3 linked regions of the Oryctolagus cuniculus genome follow. The protein of the gene in region 1 purifies or fractionates together with the protein of each later gene. This does not show direct contact. Links are inferred from orthologs where the notes say so. Each region holds a gene or a part of one and is shown in the gene's direction. Other genes may lie near its edges.

Region 1 (3,500 bases):
ATGCATCGAGCTGTGCTGCGGTTCCGTGAAGGAGATGAGGGAGAGATACACCAAAATCGTCGAGATACCCTTCAACTCCACCAACAAGTACCAGGTCTGGAGGGCTTGGAGCTCGTGTGGTGGCTGCAGGTGCACAAGCCAGGAGAAGCAGTCCCCTACCTACTGGAGTTTTGCAGGGTTTAACTTTAAATTTGACCCTTGACTTGTATATGGAAAATCTTAATTTATTTGAATATCAGTAGCTGGCATAAATGAATGCTCTTCCAGACCATTGTTTGGGCTGTATCGGAATTTTTACTTAGGATCCGGTGGGGGGGGGTGGGTTTGGGGGGAGAGGCTAGGAGTGTGGGCGTGACAATCATTTTGTATGCAAGTTTGTTTGTTTGTTTAAGATTTATTTATTTATTTGAAAGGCAGAGAGACAGAGGCAGGGAGAGAGAGATCTTCCATCCACTGGCTCATTTCCCCAAATGGCTGCAACAGCCAGAACTGGGCTTATCCAAAGCCAGGAGCCAGGAGCTTCTTCCAGGTCTCTCACACGGGTGCAGGGGCCCAAGGACTTGGGCCATCTTCTTCTACTGCTTTCTCAGGCCTTAGCAGAGAGCTGGATCAGAAATGGAGCAGCCAGGACTCGAACTGGCGCCCTTATGGGATGCACGCACTGCAGGCGGCAGCTTTACCTGCTACACCACAGCGCCAGCCCCTAAAATTTGCTGGAGGGAGGTTTTCTATGAGGACATGTGTCAGGAACTTATGTATATAGCATGATGCCCGTTGACTCTGCAGTAGCCAAGGTGTGCTGCTGTCATTCAGAGTTCAGAAGGAAAGAATAATAGCGTTGGTTGGTTCGGTTTGGTTTGGTTTTGAAAAAAAAGCAATCCTAAACAGTAGGTGGAGCTTTGTTTTCCTCCCTGGACTGCCGTATTCAGCCATCTAACGTGTGCATCTGAATCACCTTTCCCAGCTGTCCATTCATAAGAACCTCAACGCCAATGAGCCACGGCACCTGCTGGTGATGAAGGGCGCTCCAGAAAGGATCCTGGACCGGTGCAGCTCTATCCTCTTGCACGGCAAGGAGCAGCCCCTGGACGAGGAGCTGAAGGACGCCTTTCAGAACGCCTACCTGGAGCTGGGGGGCCTCGGCGAGCGAGTGCTAGGTACGCAGACACACCTGCTGACTCGCCCATGGCCGCCATCCCAGGACACAGAAGGGACGTCTCCAGGATCTTGACTCCGGGCTTCATTGTGATCCTGGATGATAAACCTTGGGCTCAGAAGGTGTCTGCTCTTTACTCAGCCTTGGGGTGTCCAGCGTGGACCCTGCACACTGGTGCTTGGGTTCATATTTCGATTAAGTGAACAAGTAAGCAGAGAAGTAGCCCTGGGGTAGCAGAAACAGGTAATTATAAGGTTTGCCAGACCTAAACACCCTATCATCAGGGAGTGGCTCTGAAGCCTAGGTATCAGTGCTGTCCATTCAGTCTTCTCCATGTTAAACAGTTCCCAGTTCTTTGAGGTTTGGTAATGGAATCTGACTTTCAGATGTTTGGTTCTTTTCTCAGACTCTGTATCATTCATGGATATGAAACAAAACACTCATTGATTGTAAAACTAGACTTTGGGGGCCAGCGTGCTGGGGCAGAGGTTCAAGCCTCTGCCTGAGATGCTGACATCCCCTGTGAGCGCCAGTTTGAGTCCCGGCTGCTCCACTGCTGACCCAGCTCCCGGTTAATCTATGTGGGAAAGCAGCAACAGATGGATCCCTGCCACCCACATGGAAAACGTGGATGGAGTTCCAGGCTCTTGGCTTCCACCTGCCCCAGCCCGGGCCGCTGCGGTCATCTGGGGAGTGAAGCAGTGGCATCCCGGAACAGGCAGATGTGGGCAGCTGGCTGCTACCAGCCTCATACCTCCTGCAGTGTAGACACGCTCACAGGCCCCTGCTCTCTCGCAGGGTTCTGCCACCTTCTTCTGCCAGACGAACAGTTCCCTGAAGGATTCCAGTTTGACACCGATGAAGTGAACTTCCCTGTCGATAACCTCTGCTTTATCGGGCTCATCTCCATGATCGACCCTCCACGGGCGGCCGTCCCCGATGCCGTGGGCAAGTGCCGCAGTGCTGGAATTAAGGTAGCACCCGCCGGGGACGCTTGCTCTTTTCTCCCCTGGAGGGCTAACTTCTCTTCTCCAGAGCCTTGGTTGTACGAGAGAAACCAAATAGTACTGAAATGCGGGTCTGAACAGCAGATGAGGGATTAGAGAAAACCCACGTTCCTAAAGAGGAAATGCGGGCGAAGGGAATAGAGCAAAGGCCTGGAGTACAACCGGGACTGCTCCGTTACTGAGCTGCTACCCTGCGCGCCGATGGCGTCTGCTCAGGTCTCGGTGGAGCTGATGGTCCGTGGGTGTCTGGTGTGCTCTGACTTCTTTTTCGAGTAGCTGACTGTGACTCAGGTGTCCTGCCAGCTCCCTGTTGGATGTTTGTGTCCCCAGGCTTTCATACTCAGGAGTCATACTGCCCTGAAAGGCTTCGTAGAAATGATTTCCCTACAGTTGCACTGTTTCTTTGAGACTGTATTCTTCCAAGTATAAGCACTGGATCGATAACAAGTTTGAATTCTTGTTACCTCCTGCTCTCCTCCCCGCCCTCTGCCTCAAATTGGGTCGATTTGAGAATGCTGACTAGTGATACGTGGCCCCTTGGAGGCCCACTAGTGTCCGTCTTCCCTTTTTGCTGGTTTTAGAGGTTGAGTATTTTTATGTGGCTGTGTAAAAGGGGAAGCAGATAGGTTGTGCGCTCACGCACCGAGTCTTTGGCTGGATGTTTGCTTTCTGTGAATGCGATGCTTGTGTTTTGACTCGCTGATGTTGATCGGTTTTATGTTTGCAGTCTTTGCCTTTGGCTACTCGGCTGAATCTCCTGCCGCTCATTCCTGCCCACCTGCAAATAAGACTTTTTACACTGTCCTGTCTCCTACCGCAGGTCATCATGGTCACGGGAGACCATCCCATCACAGCCAAAGCCATCGCCAAAGGTGTGGGCATCATCTCTGAAGGCAATGAGACCGTAGAAGATATTGCTGCCCGCCTCAACATCCCAGTGAGCCAGGTGAACCCCAGGTAAGGCGGGGAGCCCGAGGCACAGCCTGCCGTGGACGTGCAGGCAGGGGTAGTCTGAGATCTGTGCCCTGGTTCCGTACTGGTTTGCTTGCAGGCTTGTCTGAGTAGGGAATGTGCCTGCGCTCAGAGAGCAACTTTGCAGACCCTAGGGAGAGCTTCAGTCCGAGCAGGTCGTAGTGAGTGACACCTGAAGGGTGTGCCGTGCCCGGAGGGCTTTTAAGAATAGATGTTTCAGGGCTCCACCACACTGAGTAGGGAGGCTGAGGCCTGGGGAGCTTCAAAGTGCAGAACTGGCCAAGGCATGCAATGAATTGGGCAATTGCTTCCAATGTCACGCTACACTGAGCTCTGCTGCCTGTCACCCAGCACCTGTTCAGTTT
Region 2 (4,131 bases), on another chromosome or scaffold:
GGTTGTCATTGTTTTCTGGGTCTTCCATAGCCCCCATCAGAGATTAGTTTTATAAATGACCCTAGTGAGGTCAGTTGGTGGGCTAAGTACAGCGGCTCCTGCCTTCCCAACTGAGGCTTACAGGGAGTGGGATCCAGAAGATCTGTTAGTTCATCTTTCTGAAATTATGACAGTACCACCCCCCCACCCCCGGACAGCTCAAGTGCTGATGGACTTTCCAGACCTTGGTGTCAGCCCAGCCTAAACCCTGACCTCTACATGCAGACCTGAAGCTTGCTGCCAAGGCCACTGTGCTGCTGGATTTGTGCCCTGACAACTACCCACCCCATCACCAGCACGGGCGTGTTCTCTGCCTGCCATGCATGGGGCTGGGATGGGGGACGGATCTACTCACCACGAAGGGAAATGTGTGGAGCCATCAGGTGTGGATCCATTCTGGCCGCCCAGACCTGAAGGCAGGAACACAGCCAGAGCTGCAGTAGACTGGGGGTGGGGATCTGGGCAAGCATCAGCCCAATTCAGGGTAGGGGCCGCTAGTGGAATCTGCCAGGGGTCCTGAGTCTGGTGACGGTTCTAGAGATCAGTTACAACGTGATGGGCGGAGCGGTGGGGATTCTGGCATAAAATGATACGGTATGATAGCATAGGTCAGGGTAAAATACTAAGTTCTGACGATCTTGGTGGACTTCTGGTAGTCTAGGGGGATTCTGAGGAACCCAATGGTTCAGTCTGGTGGGGGCGGGGGCGGCCAGCTCACGGAGGTTCATAGGGAGCCTCACCTGGGCGGTGATACAACCCGGTCACCGTGTTCCCGTAGAACCCCCACGCCAGCTGGATGCCCAGGAGACTTAACACCAACCACAGCAGCAGCAGTTTGAAGAGGGTCACACGCATGTCCTGCGCCTCCCACTCCCGCAGAAACTCGCTGCCCAGCGCGCCCAGCGCGCCTAGCACCGTGGCCGGCAGAGCCTGCAAAGACTGTCCAGACCAAGACTCCGCCATGACCGGCCCGCGCCCCACCCGGGGTACTGTCACCGTAGTGCACACCGCGCAGGCGTAAGGTCTTCCGGGGCTAGGCCCGTTAGTGCGCACGCGTAGAACCAGGCAGGGCGGGCCTACCTCGCTTGGGCGAAGAGTTGGCAGTTTAGGGAGGAGTATTAAAACCGCGCACGCGCACTTAGCCCCACCCTACTCCCTTAAAGCATGAGTGACTCCCGGAGTATAAAATAGCAACCGGGTCTTTTATAGCCCCAGAGTTCCCGTGATGCCCCACGCGGCTGTAATGATTGGTTGAGCGTCTTGCTTTTAGGGCGTGGACGCGCGCCTGAGCTATCGTGGCTGAGATGTGAGTGTGCGCGCGCGCGCGGGGCCGCGACCAGGGCCGGCTCGAGCCCGCTGGGCGCTCGGGGACGCGCACGTCGCTCCCCGCCCTCCCGCCGCCGCCCGCCCTCGCTCGCTCGCGCTCCCCGCCCGCCACCCGCCGTCCTCCGTCGGTTCTCTCGGTAGTCCGCCGTCGCCGCCTCAGCTACCCGCCCTCGTCTCCGAGCTTGCGACTCGCGGACAGGCGTCCTCGGCGCGAAGAGGCCGGACTCGGAGTCGTCGCCCGAGGTGAGCGGGAGGATCCCCTCCTGGCGCCCCGGGCCCGCCCGCCCGCCCGGCACTTTTCCGGCCGCCCGCCCGCCCGCCGCCCCGCCGCCCCGCCGCGGCCGCGCCCCACCTGCTGCTCCCGCCCGGCCGCCCCCGGCCCCTGACCCTCACTCCAGCCCGGGGCCCGCGCCCCGCTCCCGCGGCCCCGCCCGCGCCGGCCCCGGAAGCGCGCCCCGCCGCCTCCAGCGCCCCTTCCCCCGCCCGGCCGGGCCTGCTGGAGCCCCAGCCGCCCGCCCGCCCCGGAGCTTCCTCTCTCACGGCCGCGCGGGGCTGGGCGGGGGCTCCTGGCCGCGCGGCGCGGCGCAGCCGGCAGCCGCAGAGCGCTCGTGGCTGTCGGAGTTGAAACGGGAGAGAAACTCTTTACAACTCCATTTTACCTTTTCCATCTGCTGTAGCACATGAATCACCGTTTTATGCAGAAGTCCGGCTGTGCTTTGAATAGATTTGCCTTTTTTTTTTTTTTTTGATGCGGTATGCTTGGAGAGAGTCTTAAGTAAAAAAGCTTGTGTTGAGGTCTTAGGACTGCTGCCTGAATTGGGGCGGAAAAGGGTGTTTTCCAGTTGAAAATTTTTAATGATTTAAACAACGTTGCATTAAAATGCAGGTAGTTTTGCCTGTGGAAGTTGCTGCCTTTTATTGGGACTCACCTAAACATCTGCCCCTGGTTTTGGATAGGATACACAGTTACAGGGTGTCTGCATTAAATAGCATTGTTTGCCCCCAGGTCGATTTCGTTAAATGCAGTGTTTTGTCATTTCTGGTGGAAGCTTGCATCCTTTTTACCTCCGTGTTGCTTCCTGTTGTGTTTCCTAGTAGTCCTGTTCTCAAAATGTTAGACTCTGTTGGTCACTTGTTCGGTTATTTCTGCCTTTAAGACGATCTTTTGAAGTAAATGTGTCTTGCAGGTGTGCAATCAGATTAGATTCCTCTCTGCCAAATCTGAAGGGGAAAAAAATGTCAAAGCCCCAAACCTCCATATTTTAAAATGGTGTATATGGTGAGACTTTTTCAGCCACTTAGTGTCACACACCCAGGCTGGGTTGGTGGAGATGTTGTATGTGGCACAAATGACATTGTTTGGGCTGAAACTTACAAAGACTAGTCCTTAATTGAAGCATCTCTTGATAAATTTCTAGAGACCCTTTAAAACTACAAATCTAAGGTGAATTTTAGACTCCTGTGAGTCTATGCCACTTGTCATTGTCACTAGTAGCCATAATGCAGTTGGACCCAATGTGTTGTCTATAGCAGTCCATCAAGTCCAAATCAATTCTAAAAGTTTAGGTTAGGTTTAGGTTAGTTCCATCTACTTTTGTAGAGCACTTTATGGCTCTTGGGGACATAAAATATGTAAGATGGAACTTGGTTTTAGTCAAAGTCTAGTACTAGGTTTACTGTCCTCATAAAAATCTGTACTGGAGAGAATAGAGTAGGATTATAACATCGATCAATTATCTTCATAGACCTAGTACTAAAATGAATTAAAATCATGTAGTCCAATCACATCTGCAGATGAGGAAACTGAGTCCCAGAGACTTAATTAAGCAGGATCATACTGGTATTATCTAGCTAGAAGCAGGCCAGAACTGTTTGCTCTGCAGGATATTCTCAAATACACTCCCAAACAGCTGGACTAGAGTCAGCTAAACTTTGGGACTTACTCTACCGTTTTTTCTTTTATACCTTGCTGACTTTACATAGATTGGGAGAATGTGAAAATTGATTTGCCAGCCAAATTTCAGTTCCTTAGCTGTCACAGCACTCTCCGTAACGGGATGGTTCCGCTGCAGTCACTTGTGAGAAATACCTGAATATACCTGCAAGGTCCTTGGCTGCCTATTCCTGGCTTTAGGTGTTTGGGTCTCAAGCGACCAATTTCCGGAGAGAGGCCCAGGCCTGGCTGCTCCAGAACCAGCCTAATGAGGTCAGGCTGAGATGTTTTCAGACAACTGCGGGCTCTTTTGCTGACTCCTGATAGGGGCAGGCTGAGGAAGGAACTGTACATATCAGGGTAACAGTCCCCTGTGCACATGTGTGTTGTGGTGGTTTTTGTTAGAGTATTTTCATAGTTTTGGTTCCTATGCTGTCAGCCAGTTAAGTTTTAAAAGTTTATCCTAGGTATATGGGGGCGTGAGTTATTAGGAAAGTAAAAACGGGCAGATCTTAGGTGTGTGTTGTCGATAGGGTGATATGCAAGTGGTTAGTTGCTACTTTGGGTCTTCTTAATTGTCTTTATTTTTTTTTAAGATTTTAAAAATACATATTTATGTATTTGCAAGGCAGAGTTAGAAAAAGAAATCTTCCATCTGCTGGTTGGCTTCCCAAATGGCTAAAACGTCTGGGGTGGGGCTGGACCAAAGTGGGAAGCCTAGAACTCTGTCCAGGTCTCCCTGGTGGGTGGCAGGGGCCTAAGCACTTGAACCATCCTCCACTGCCTTCCCAGGCACATTAGCAGGGAGCTGGATCAGAAGTGGAGCAGCCAGG
Region 3 (4,088 bases), on another chromosome or scaffold:
CTACGATTGGAATAACACATGACAGTCCTGCGGAGACTAAAAACATGAGTAGAACAAGATTCACGCATTCGACGAATCCCTTTCAGCAAGGGAAGACTCCAGCTACCTGTCTTTAAGAAAATAATAATAATAAAAGCATGCTCCCCCTTGGTTCAGGAGTAAGGAAAGGAATTCATATTACAAATTAAGCTAAAAGTAAAAATGTCTAATTGAGTAACTGACATAACATACAACACGCAATAAAAAGTTACGCCTGACCTTACAGACTTGGGGTGGAAGGAAAAGGCTAGGTTTTAGACAACCACCCACTTTAATCGTTTTAATACCAGCCCGAGGAGAAAAGGACAATATTGTTAATATAGGCTAGCCGGGAACAGTCACAAACAAGACTAGAGCCAGTTCTTTACACGACTTAACATTTTATTCCTTAAGAACTCTAGCTATTTGCATACCTTAAAAATGTCCCTTCCAGTAAGTTCAGAGCCTCAAATTCAACATACTCTCTATCAACACTGTAAGTACTAGAACTGCAAGAGTTATGCTCCCTACTGAAACGTAGAAATAATTTTTTTTAAAAAATGGCTGTGATGTAAAGATTAGGGGAGCGGCCGCGATCTCCTAGGCTGGTATTAAAGACATCCAAGCAGGAAGCAAGTTGCCCGTGGGGGCACAAAGACGCCACAGCCTGGGTCCGGGTGCTCCTGGAGCTCCCAGTCTAGTCGCACCTGGTCTAAGACCAACACCAACGCAAGCAAGAGGGGCGTGAGCCCGCAAGTGCAGCCCGCGAGCCCTGCGGAAAAGGCGCCGGGCCGGGTGAAGAGGACTCAGAAACCCAGGGGCTGCAGAGCCTGACAAGCCCGCAGGACCGACACGGGAGGCAGGAGAGACAGCCCCTCCGCAAGGACACAGCAAACGGGGTCCCAGGGCAGTATCCCCCCCGACGAAGGCTGGGCCCCCGGCGACTGCGGGCCCGAAGGAACACCAGGCAGCCGCGGCACGGGGCCGCCCCAGACCCCGGAATTCCACCCTGCGTTCGGGGGCACCCTCAAAGAGGGCTCACCTCGGGAGCGGAGGATCCTGAGGCCAGAGAAGCGGCTCAGGCTGCCAATTGCCCGGGAGGCCACCATCTTGAGCTAAGAGGACGAAAAGTGGAAAGCGCTTCTAGCCGGGGCGGAGCGGCAGAGGACTTTTCTTCCCGTGGCAGGGACGCCAAGGCGGCCGAAGAACTGCCTGACTAAAAATCAGAGGCCGGGCTGCCGCCGGCCCCGTAACCCTACGCTTCGTTCCCGGGTAACGGGGTCGGAAGAACGCTTTCTCCGCGGGAGAACAGGGGCCCAGGGAGGAGGGGGCGGAGGGTCGAGTTTTTCCAGTCAGGCGGGCAGCGGGCAGCCTGTGAGGCCTGCCGGACCCGCGGGCGGGGACGAGGGGGCCTTTCTAGGCAGGACCCGCCCCGGGGTCCTGCACAGTCTTGGTACTTGGATCCGAACCTTGCCCGGAGCGAGAATCCGCGTCGACACCGACTGAGGTGAGCGGCGGCGTGTGCTCGGCTATGCTTAGAGCGTTTCCCGCAGGCGAGCTCCCGGCCCGCGCCCGCCTCTCGCCCCCGGGAGAGTCGCGGTCGAGCGAGCTGAAGGGAGCTCGGAGGAGGAGGGAGGAAGACGGCACCAGCTGCAGATCGGGCAGGGGTCTGGGTTGGCTCTGAGCCTGTCACCCGCGTCTTCATTTACCACCGCAAGTCGACGAGCTGTTTGCGTGTGTGGGGACCTCAAGCCCGGGCCGTGTTGGGGTGCGTGCCTTGCTCGCCAGCTTCACCCGATTTCGGGGAAGGGCTGGGATGAGGGTGGAAGGAACTGACTCAGCCCTTGGTCCTGCGTGGTGATCCGTTGCTCCGGGGGTTTTCTAACCCAGGAGGGGCCCGGCGATCCTCTGGTCATTCTCTCCCTCACTTTATCGGTGAAGGAACTGAATCCAGCGGATCAGAGTGACTCTCTGGCCACAGGTGGTAGAAGTGAGACCAGGGCCCCAGTCTTAACTTCTTCCCGAGAGCTCTGCATCGCGGGACAGCTATTTTGTTGCTGGAAAGGAGACTTGGAATCGTGTTCTAAAGGGAATGGGCCTCAAAAGCAGGTGACACTAGTGGCCTCCTGTAGGGCACCTTGACACCATTTTGTTTAGTTCTCACGATCCCAAAATCATTGTTATCCTTTGCATTTTTCTAAACGAAGTTTGGGAGGCGCGGAGAGAGAATGTAAATTTTTTGGTTCTTGGCAGAGCCGGGATTCAGATTGCCAGGATTCGGATATGAAGCTGAACCCCGCCGAAAGGAGGCTTCTGCGGTGGGAAAGGGCAGGGAACTTAAGATGAAGTCAGATCGTGAGCCCTCGGCCGGCGTTGTGGCACAGCAGGTGCCGCCTGAGGTCCCATTTGGGCTCGAGTTTGAGTCCTGGCTCTCCACCTTCCTGCTAATGGGGCTGGGAAGGCAGCAGGAGGTAGCTCAAGTGCTTGGGCCCCTGCACCCACGGGGAGACCCTGATGGGGCTCCTGGCTTTGCTGGCTTTGGCATGGCCCAGCCTGGGTGTAGTGGCCATTTAGGGAGTGAGCCAGAAGGAAGATAGATTCATTCCTCCCCCCCACCCCCGCCCACTCTCTGTAATGCTGCTATTCAAATAAAATAAATCTTTATTTGAAATGAGTTCTCCAGCTCTGTGAGCCTAGCCTTTTAAACAGAAATTGGATAACCACTTCTGAGTAAATTGTAAGAAGGGTCTTTTTCTTTTTAAGATTTATTTTATTTGGCCAGTGCCGCGGCTCACTTGGCTAATCTTCCGCCTGCGGTGCCGGCACCCTGGGTTCTAGTCCTGGTTGGGGCGCCGGATTCTGTCCCGGTTGCTCCTCTTCCAGTCCAGCTCTGTGCTGTGGCCAGGGAAGGCAGTGGAGGATGGCCCAAGTGCTTGGGCTCTGCACCCATATGGGAGACCAGGAGGAAGTACCTGGCTCCTGGCTTCAGATCAGTGCGGCGCCGGGCATAGCGGCCATTTGAGGGGTGAACCAACGGAAGGAAGACCTTTCTCTGTCTCTCTCTCTCACTGTCTAACTCTGCCTGTCAAAAAAAAAAAAAAAGATTTATTTATTTATTTGAAAGGCAGAGTTACAGAGAGGCAGAAGCAGAGAAAGTCTTCCATCCGCTGGTTCACTCCCCAAATGGCCACAACAGCTGGAGCTGAGCCAATCCGAAGCCACGAGCCAGGAGCTTCTTCTGGGTCTCCCATGTGGGTGCAGGGGCCCAGGCACTTGGGCCATCTTCTACTGCTTTCCCAGGCCATAGCAGAGAGTTGGATCGAAAGAGGAGCAGCCAGGACTAGAACCAGCACCCATATGGGTTGCCGTCGCTTCAGGCCAGGGCTTCAACCTGCTGCACCATAGCGCTGACCCCAAGAAGGTTTCTTGATGACATCATGAGATTTTGGGGGTTCTGTAGCCTGCCTCCTGCCCACGTATCTTCTGTATCCAGTTGCCTGCTGTCTTGATTACATAGATCAAGAGTAGCAGTTTTTTATGTAAAGGGCCAGATTGCAGTTGGCACTTTGCAAGGGTACGGTTGTCAGTGTAAGATACTGTTTGCTGACAACTCTGGAGGTGTGTACAACTTGCTAGCTAGAGGCCCATGGGTTGTAGCTTGCCAGCCTCTGACATAGATCACCCTCTTGGCTTCACCATTTTATGCCCTGAACTCTCAGCAAAATTGTAAACTCCCTCAGGGCTGAAGTGTTAGAATGTGTCCTGGTCTCCCAGGGATACTAAGTGTATTTGAATAACCACTGCTAAGATGAAGCAAATACCTGGGTAGCAGCATGTCAGGCCAAGTTGTACGTGGCTGCGTATTCACTCATAGCAGCCCTTCCAGGTGGTTAATAAGATTATCTCCATCCATACCTAAAGGCTCCAAGAGGAAGGTGAAGCCACACGGTTCTGATGGAGCCAGGATTTGACTTGGCCTGGTTTGAGAGGGTTGCTGGTAGCTATTACATTGTGTCTTGATGATGTTGCAATAATGAGCCTTGGCTTCTGCTGCTTGCTTAGCCGCCCCC

The links. The genes of interacting proteins can lie anywhere in the genome.
Region 2: the proteins of ATP1A1 (region 1) and RHOA purify together in Homo sapiens (affinity purification with mass spectrometry; 3 studies listed by BioGRID and IntAct, with this or other methods). This does not show direct contact. The link is inferred for Oryctolagus cuniculus from reciprocal best matches to the Homo sapiens genes ATP1A1 and RHOA.
Region 3: the proteins of ATP1A1 (region 1) and HADHB fractionate together in Homo sapiens (co-fractionation; 3 studies listed by BioGRID, with this or other methods). This does not show direct contact. The link is inferred for Oryctolagus cuniculus from reciprocal best matches to the Homo sapiens genes ATP1A1 and HADHB.

Annotation. Positions count from the first base shown.
Region 1 is NC_091438.1:54,052,565-54,056,064, reverse strand, and holds part of ATP1A1 (sodium/potassium-transporting ATPase subunit alpha-1), read left to right. Parts: coding exon 1-94; intron 95-964; coding exon 965-1,157; intron 1,158-1,954; coding exon 1,955-2,130; intron 2,131-2,983; coding exon 2,984-3,120; intron 3,121-3,500. UniProt on the Homo sapiens protein: This is the catalytic component of the active enzyme, which catalyzes the hydrolysis of ATP coupled with the exchange of sodium and potassium ions across the plasma membrane.
Region 2 is NC_091441.1:99,831,127-99,835,257, forward strand, and holds the start of RHOA (transforming protein RhoA), read left to right. Parts: upstream 1-1,331; 5' UTR 1,332-1,608; intron 1,609-4,131. Other genes in the region: TCTA (T-cell leukemia translocation-altered gene protein), read right to left, coding at 395-449, 780-1,002. UniProt on the Homo sapiens protein: Small GTPase which cycles between an active GTP-bound and an inactive GDP-bound state.
Region 3 is NC_091433.1:176,562,780-176,566,867, reverse strand, and holds the start of HADHB (trifunctional enzyme subunit beta, mitochondrial), read left to right. Parts: upstream 1-1,288; 5' UTR 1,289-1,525; exon of another isoform or gene 1,526-1,786; intron 1,787-4,088. Other genes in the region: HADHA (trifunctional enzyme subunit alpha, mitochondrial), read right to left, coding at 1,061-1,127. UniProt on the Homo sapiens protein: Mitochondrial trifunctional enzyme catalyzes the last three of the four reactions of the mitochondrial beta-oxidation pathway.